Xenopus tropicalis: one gene and its partner. The protein of the gene in region 1 binds, or shares a complex with, the protein of each later gene. Links are inferred from orthologs where the notes say so. Each region holds a gene or a part of one and is shown on either strand. Other genes may lie near its edges. The genes, in order: ppih and lsm4.

What was found.
Region 2: ppih (region 1) and lsm4 share a complex: the UniProt entries of both Homo sapiens proteins name them as parts of the U4/U6-U5 tri-snRNP complex. The link is inferred for Xenopus tropicalis from reciprocal best matches to the Homo sapiens genes PPIH and LSM4.

Annotation. Positions count from the first base shown.
Region 1 is NC_030683.2:94,748,091-94,751,916, forward strand, and holds part of ppih (peptidyl-prolyl cis-trans isomerase H), read right to left. Parts: intron 3,675-3,826; coding exon 3,582-3,674; intron 2,327-3,581; coding exon 2,239-2,326; intron 434-2,238; coding exon 393-433; intron 1-392. UniProt on the Homo sapiens protein: PPIase that catalyzes the cis-trans isomerization of proline imidic peptide bonds in oligopeptides and may therefore assist protein folding. Participates in pre-mRNA splicing.
Region 2 is NC_030677.2:103,364,764-103,369,044, forward strand, and holds the start of lsm4 (U6 snRNA-associated Sm-like protein LSm4), read left to right. Parts: upstream 1-1,478; 5' UTR 1,479-1,504; coding exon 1,505-1,507; exon of another isoform or gene 1,508-1,520; intron 1,521-4,281. UniProt on the Homo sapiens protein: Plays a role in pre-mRNA splicing as component of the U4/U6-U5 tri-snRNP complex that is involved in spliceosome assembly, and as component of the precatalytic spliceosome (spliceosome B complex).

The DNA of each region.
Region 1 (3,826 bases):
ACTGTTGATTAGCAACAAGCGGGTGGCTGAAGTTGGAACATCGCTGCTACAGAACTAGTACTAGAAATTGTGCTATCTTTTGCACGTTATCAAGACAGGTTATTTCAATACTAAAGTATTTTAATTTTTAGTTACTTACATTGGACAAGTGAACCTTTTGGCTTTATTGTTGTTATTCAAGCAGTCAAAATACATTTTTACTTTGGTAAAAACAAGAAAACAAGCAGGCAATTAACAAGTTCTCTCTATATTAAAAGGGTGTGGCCCTGGTATTTCCAGACACACCCAGCAATAAAGCATTCCAAAGTTATGAGATAATGGCACTATACTATACTCTTTCAGTTAAATAACACTTATAACACTTTCAATTTCTCCCAACAAAAACAAATTACCTCAATTTTTCTCATCACAAGAAGTCCATCGATTACTTTACCTGTAAATAAAATAGTCATCTTGATTGTTGTGGATGAAGCAAAAATATTTTTCTATCTATATAAATACATCGGGCAGGTTTTAAAATCCCATAGTGGTGAGGAGTGCATTGGCTCATGCGGTCTTCACCCCAATGGCTTGCATCCTATAAATGTGATCACTTTAATATCGCCCATCTCAAGGTGGGAATATTGGGAACTTGCTTATCAATATGTCCCCAAGGGAGGCTATTTATCATAGTTTGACAACTTATATTTTATATGTAATACAGGGCATATTACTATAGCCTGTCATGGTGTGGCCATCAAATTATTACTAGCCCAGAAAAGGATGCTACTATGAAACCTATTCCTAAGAAGAGTTGGAATGCTGAATTCAAAGTTGAATTTATATTTCAGATAGAGTTAAAAGAATAGTAACACCAAAAAATGAAAGTGTATTAAAGTAATTGTAATATAATGTAGTGTTACCCTGCAGTGGTAAAAGCTGCTTGTTTGCTTTAGAAAAATTAATATAGTTTATATAAGCAAAGCTGTGATATAGCCCAGGGGGGTAGTTTTTAAACTGAAATAAGACCATGGCTTAAGCCACATGGGGCTGATTCTCGGCCTATGGACAAACACAGGCTGAGAATCAGCCTCTACACTCCAATCAGCTTTTGGATGTGCCTGCAACCGGAGCCACTGCGTCAGCCCCTGTGCCGGTACATGGAGTGAATTTCGGTGCCGAAATGTACTGTTTGTATCTGTTATCTGCTGTAACCTGTGCCTTTTCTCCTTTTTAGGGCCGTGGCAGACAGGGAGATTAGTCGCCCGCGACAAATCTCCCCGTCTGCCACGGCCCTTATCCAGCTTAAATAGTTGCCCCCATGGCTACCCAACAGCTTATAGTAGAATTTCTGAAGCCAACACAATCTTTAGGTTGATTGTGGGCCTGCAGAAAAACGCAAAGCCCCTAAGCTGGCATCAGCCTTCTTTGTCTGCACCTGGAACCATTAAACTGAATTGGCCTGGTGCAGGCACAAATGGTGGATATCAGCAAAAAAACTCAAGAGTTTCCATTTCAAAGCTGATATCCACCGGTTGCACAGACAAGAAGGTGGCTGATGCCAGCGTAGGGTCCGATTCTCGGGCTGTGGAAAAATGCCGAGAATTAAACCCATGTGGCATAAGCCCTACCAGTGCAGGGCAACAGAACATTATTATATTTTAATTACTTTAAAACACTTGATTTTTTGGTGTCACTGTTCCTTTAACAATCAAATGAAGACAGTGTTACTGTATTCTTGCTAAAGTGTTACTCCACTGTTTTCAATGGACAGCAGCCCTATGCAACTTATGTCCCCAATATCCCCAGGCTACACAAGTTGTCTGGCCTAGACTTTTCACTTGCACTGTGCCTGAATGTGCAGATTGCCAAAAGGAGTGAAACAATCTGGACATACAATTTCATTTAGTAATGAGCCCCAAAGAAGCATAATGCTGAAAGGTAAGTGTAATTCATGGAGCAAAAATGTATTACTGTACTGAGCATCCATAAAGATACCCTCGGCACTGACACAAACTAATAGGGCAGACTTTCTGCTACAACTTTACTTTGGAAAATAACCAGCCATTGTTTTTGCTGGCTGTATCCTAAACTGCAGAACACTGGAATATCTTACAACATATCTGATCAAAAAGTCACATGTAGGATTGTCTCCCAGATGAACAAGCCTGGCAGGAGCAGCCTGAAATAACGAGCTACTTGGCTGCGAGCCTTGGATGTGTCCTAATGCTAGTGAAATATATTCTGTTAAAAACTCACCAAATACCACATGTTTTCCATCCAACCAATCGCACTTTGAGCATGTGATAAAAAACTGGCAGCCATTCGTCCCTGGGCCACTGTTAGCCTGTGGAGTACAACACAGTGTGTTTTATATTTAGTTTCTTGTATAGTTTGCAAACAAGAGAAACTGTGGACTTGCCAGTGATCTTCTTTTAGCTGTTTAATACAAAAGCCACTCTGTGGGGGTGTAATAAAAAAAAAAAAAAAAAAAAAAACAGCTTGGAAATATAAAGGTCAAGTGAATTATATCAGTGGGAATGGCATGCATGCAACCCTAGCTATAAATCTGTAGCAGGAGTACTTGTGCTTTGTAAGAGGCAAAACACACAGGAAGAGGGCTCTATTGACAATAAAGTTTATCCATGTTTTCTTACTTCTCATATGAGATGGGTATTCCCCCAAGAATATAGGGTATTCCCCCAAGAATATAGGGTATTCCTAGGTCTCTTGCAGAGGAACTCCCTGTGCTAAAATGTATCAGGCTGAGAGACTATGTGACTGCTAGAACAGAATTCTTTGTTATAAGGTGACCAGAATGCCAGTCATAAAATTCCCGTTTTGCTGCTTTTATAAAAGAAGGAGAGACAGGCAAATGTTTAGCATTTTTTGTTTAAGAGACACTTACATTGATTTTTTCATTATTATTTTTTAGAAACATTAATATCTGTTAACAGATTTTGCAGAAAGCGTTGCCAAAAGATTCTTCAAAATGAATGCAGCCCTCTCCTAGTTAAACAACAATAACTTGGAAAAGAGTGCCTCCATAACACTTGGGGCCAATTAACAGGGCAATAGTAACTGGGGCAATTAAAACTGAACTGACACAGCACAGAAATAGCTAGCTGGGTCAGTAGATGGAGCATGCCACACTTTAGTGAGCTAAATGGGCTGGACATGCCTTACAGTAGCATTGATACACAGAAGCTAAACCATGTCTGAAGTGCTTGGCTTGAAAAGAGTTAAAGAGTAAAACCACCCAAAAATGTTTATTTGCACAACAGAAGGTAATGTAACTATAAAAAAAAGTCCAATAACAACATTGTTTAATAGTTTTAGTTATTTGCAATTGAAAGCAGTATTCGATTATCCTTTTCTGTACCCTAGTTCTCACTCTTAAAACAATGCTTCTCCAGGTCTATTAATATGAACAACAGTATAAACTAATCACACATTTGTCTTCTGTTTTTAAACAATGCAAGTCCATTGAAAGCTTATTTGTGATCGACTGCAAATTTTTTTTCTCACTGTAGACTATTTACTTATTAATCAGTGCTTCATATATTACATCATGTACAAGAAAACAGATTTGTAATACATACCATGGATAAAAGTCCAGGTGTAGAATGTTTTTGTTTAAAGTTCTCATCTGCAAATGGACCTCTATATATGCTTGCAACTCCAGTGCCATCCCCCTGGAAAACATGCTTTTGTAAATATAAAGTAGAAGCAAATTCACATAATGTCCTTTTGCAATCGCCAAAAGGATTCCTTTGAATGTGACGAGATGTTCAAAAGAAAGATGCACAAAGGAATTATGCTGAGGAGGTGCTGTATATAATGACTG
Region 2 (4,281 bases), on another chromosome or scaffold:
CAAAAGTGGCAGATATCGGCATTTCACAGCCGATAACTGCCATGTCTGCCTGCACCAAGATGAAGATAATGCTTCTTGGTGCAGGCAAGGTAGTAGGCTGGTGCCAGCATAGGGGCTGATTCTCAGACTGCATTTTTCCAAAGGCCGAGAATTATCCCCATGTGGCACTAGCCTAAATTCTAAGCCCCAAATGATCGGCCAATTAGTGATCTCCAGGTCATAGCTACACCCCCTTAAAGCACTAACGACTCTACGACATCACCTACAACCCCCCTGATGTCACCCGCCCTGCCTACCTTCCGGATTTAGCTAAATGAAAAGATGACATCCCTAGTTGGAATGTGAATTTCTTTTTCCATAGATTATTAGCAACCCACATTAAATCTAATTGCTTGCCTGATACCCCAGGCTGGTCCTCCTGTTCCCTACAAAATTGCACTGGCTTAGGGTATTTCTAAAGAAGCTGCTCTTCACCATATTGTTTGACTTCTTTGTTCCAGTCCAGGCAGGCATATAAGCAGTAAAGTGAAAAACTGAGCTTTTTCGCCCTAACGCGCCCAAAGAAATGAAGGCAGAAGAGAAGATTGCACCAAAAGAGCTTCTTCAGAAATACCCTGGTCCAGTGCAGTTTTCAGCTAATAGGAGCACTTTCCCAGGGCATCAAGTAAGTGATTTTAATAAACAGGATTAATATTTTTCAAATATATGTCAAACCCAAAAATAATCTTTTTCCTAATAAAAGAAAACTTAATTCTAAGCAACTTTGCAATATACATTCATTACATATTTGTAATGGTTTTTGAGTTATTTGTATATATATACCAGCTATTAAAAGCAGTGTCTGCTTGTCCTTTTTATTCTCTACCCTGAGGGGTCTGGTGTTTGAAACAATGTAACAAACACCAGCAGATTTTACAGACCTGACTTGCTGGAGGAGCCTGGCACTTGCAACATTGTTTAAAATGTAACAACCAGGAGTTCAGCAAATGCTGCTTTCTATAGCATTACATTACATTTACAAATAACTTTTAAAGCACTAATAATCTTTAATAAATTGATATTGGAAAGTTGCTTAGAATTGTTTTCTTTTATTAGGCAAAACATTTTTGGGGGGTTGACATGTCCTTTAGCGCGCTGTGACTAGATATAATGAATAGCAGACTACCCTTCCACAACTACCAGAAACCACACTTCCCTTTGTTCGCTTAGTCATACTAATTTTAGAATACTATATAATCCCCTCTGCACCAAATAAATGTTTGTTTTTCTACGTCAGTTCCCTATAAGCAGAAACTACAGAACTCCTCTTTCCCTTAACCACGATGGCAGCGCCTTATGATCACATGGCCTGTTTATTCGACACCACCATTGGTGGATAGGACTAGCCCGATACTATTGGTACAGGAAGGTGTCACCAAAGGCTTCCTTTGCCCAACAGTCTCTGCGCTTGTTGTCTGAGCAACGGGCGGAAGTGACCGTGAGGGAGCGCGGTACAGAGCGAAACATGGCGAGTTACCTGGGTGGGACACGGGGTTTGACTACATTCGCCTGCGTTGTTCTTATAGCTAGAAATGGCGATATACTTGATTTGTGTGCTTACAATTTGGGCATGTTATAACCATTTAGTCTTACTAGTTTCTCTGTCACTCCTAGCCGGCATGTATGTTCCCGCCTGTCCTGTTAACTCATTGTTACACAGAATCGTCTCGGGTTTTTTTTAGTTCTATCAGGGTCCCGTTGCGGGCGAGCTCTGCAGCTTTATTTGTCTGGGTTAGGGAGAAGCTGGTGGAAGGACCTCTTGTGCAACATGTTTTCTTTAGATAATTGATTGGCTCATATAATCAGTGAAGGGGGATTTTTGGATACTGGTCTGAGAATTAAATATTTTACATATATTATAGGCAAACTATACCCCCTGACTGAGTACTTAACCAACAGATACATTATTTACTAAAAAGGAACCTATTAAAGAATGTTACCAAATTGGAATATATATTGGTTAATATTGGCCTTTTCCACATTGAGCCACCATTTAGTGATGGGCTGTGTGCTCCCTCAGAGATCACGTCAGGGAATAATGCAGCTCTAGTGTGTATTAAGATATTATTCATATCTTTTCACATTTAATTATAAGTTTTAGATTTCACTTTTTTGATTAACTTGTATAATTTGTGCTTAGTACAGGGCGGGCGGTTTTTCTTTGGGAGGCCCTGTAAGATGTATATTTGAAGCTTTGATATAGTATGTGCTTATTACAGGGCTTTAATGGTAACCCCGAAAAAGCTTTTGATATAGTAATGTATGATATATGCTTGTTACAGGGCCTTAATGGTAACCCTGAAAAATGTGCAAATTAAAAGTTTTGGGTATAAAAAGGGAAGTGACATGGGCATTCCTCTGATGAAGCACTTAGTGTGCGAAACGCGTTAGGAAGGAGAAAGGGTGCCAGGTAGCATGGGATGTACCTTCCATTTGGTATAGTATGTTTTATGTTATGTTTTTTGAATTTTGTATTTAAATTCTGAGCCAATAAATGGTTGTGTTTTTCACTGAATAATGTGTTTAATTATTGTATGGTATTTCAGGACCTTTCAGTGAGATACATCTTAGGTTTTCTTTCTCAATCTTACTAATTGTTATTTAATAATGCAGCTCTACCTGTAACAGGAAGAAATGTGGGAGTAAAAGTCAGAACTGTCCCCATTAATTGGCTCATGTACCCTAACATATATGTGTGTTTGTGTGCACTGTGAATCATTTCATAACAGGGGGTGGCCCTTAGTAATTAAAATGACTTTTTTTTTAACTTAGAATTATCCATGGTCACATACTGCTACAAAAGTATATTTTTATGAAAATTGTGTATTTTGATGAAGCAGTGCTTTAACTATGATCTGCTTTTTGTAAAATATTATTTTAGAGACCTGCATTGTTTGGGGGTATAGTTTTCCCTTGGCAATGTCCATCATGTGCTCTGAAAGTATGCATTTATAAAGAGTTAGTGACACAGCATATCATTTAGATTTTCTTTTTGAAAGGTCTTAGCAATCTTACTTTTTTAACTTACATCATGGGGCATTGTTCATTATTGGGTAAAAACAGATTACATTTTAAACATAATAAGTGAATGCAAAGTCCCAAATTAAAAAATTGTGCAAAAAGTCATGCATCTGTATTAAACTTGGTTAGAAAGTTCAGTAGTTAGTATAATAATAAGATAAGCACTACACTGGTTTTAATTTTGTTTCATATGCTTACTATTGAAGTGTGAAATTTTGGCATAAATTCTACTGTATGGTAATAGCTTTTATGTAATTAAGGTCAACAAGGATGCTTATTATTATTATTATTATAGTATTATTTATTATATATTATATTATTTAAAAGGACACATCATTATTGAAATAAAATAAGTTCTGCATCTTTAATAATGTGCCATCCAGCACACCACAGATAGCAAAATTGACAGTATAAATATGTTGCTTAAAACCTCTTATATTGCAAGTGTGTAATAAACAAGATAGGCAGAAATTGGAGTAGCATCATAAATAATTAAATGCTCCTTATTGGTGGGCTTGTTTCAAAGGGGAAGTTAACTGTTGCATTGGCATTAGGCATGTTATAGCTGGACCTGGCCAGGGGCTCTTCCTTTTTGGCTTTTTTCAGTCTGAAGATACAAATACTGTCAAGTTGTTGGGATCCTTGACCCTGGCAACTACAACAGATTTAATGTAAAGCTTTATTTTATTATTACAGGTCGTATTATTATTATTATTCCTTTCATCCCCCCCTTATTTTTACCTTGCAGTTTGATTTCAAAAAAGCTTTTTGATTCTTAGCATCCACATATGTTTTTGTTTCAAGCATTAGAATATCATTTTTTGCATAAAAAAAATTAAAAAAAGAAACAATCTGTGGCAAGGTGTAGCTTGTATTAGAATCCAGTTGTATATGCCTGAGTTAAAGTTAATCCTAAGGTCTCACTTTAATGACTTTAGTAAGTACAGAGTTTTGAAACCTATGTAAATGGGTTATTTTCTACAGGCCTCACACACTTGGGTCCAAAACACTGGTAAATTGACCTATTCTATCAAGATATATTGAAATTGCTCATTAGTTATGGCTCCGCTGGACTGCCTACACTCGTAGGCCCCTCTGCAACAGCAGGGTAAAAAAAAAGATGAAACAATGAAACAAATTGAAGGAGATATTGTCCTTGTGGAGGGCCCTAAAAAAAGCTCCACATTTGTTCTTTTGGCTTTCAGTCTGACAGCCTTGCTC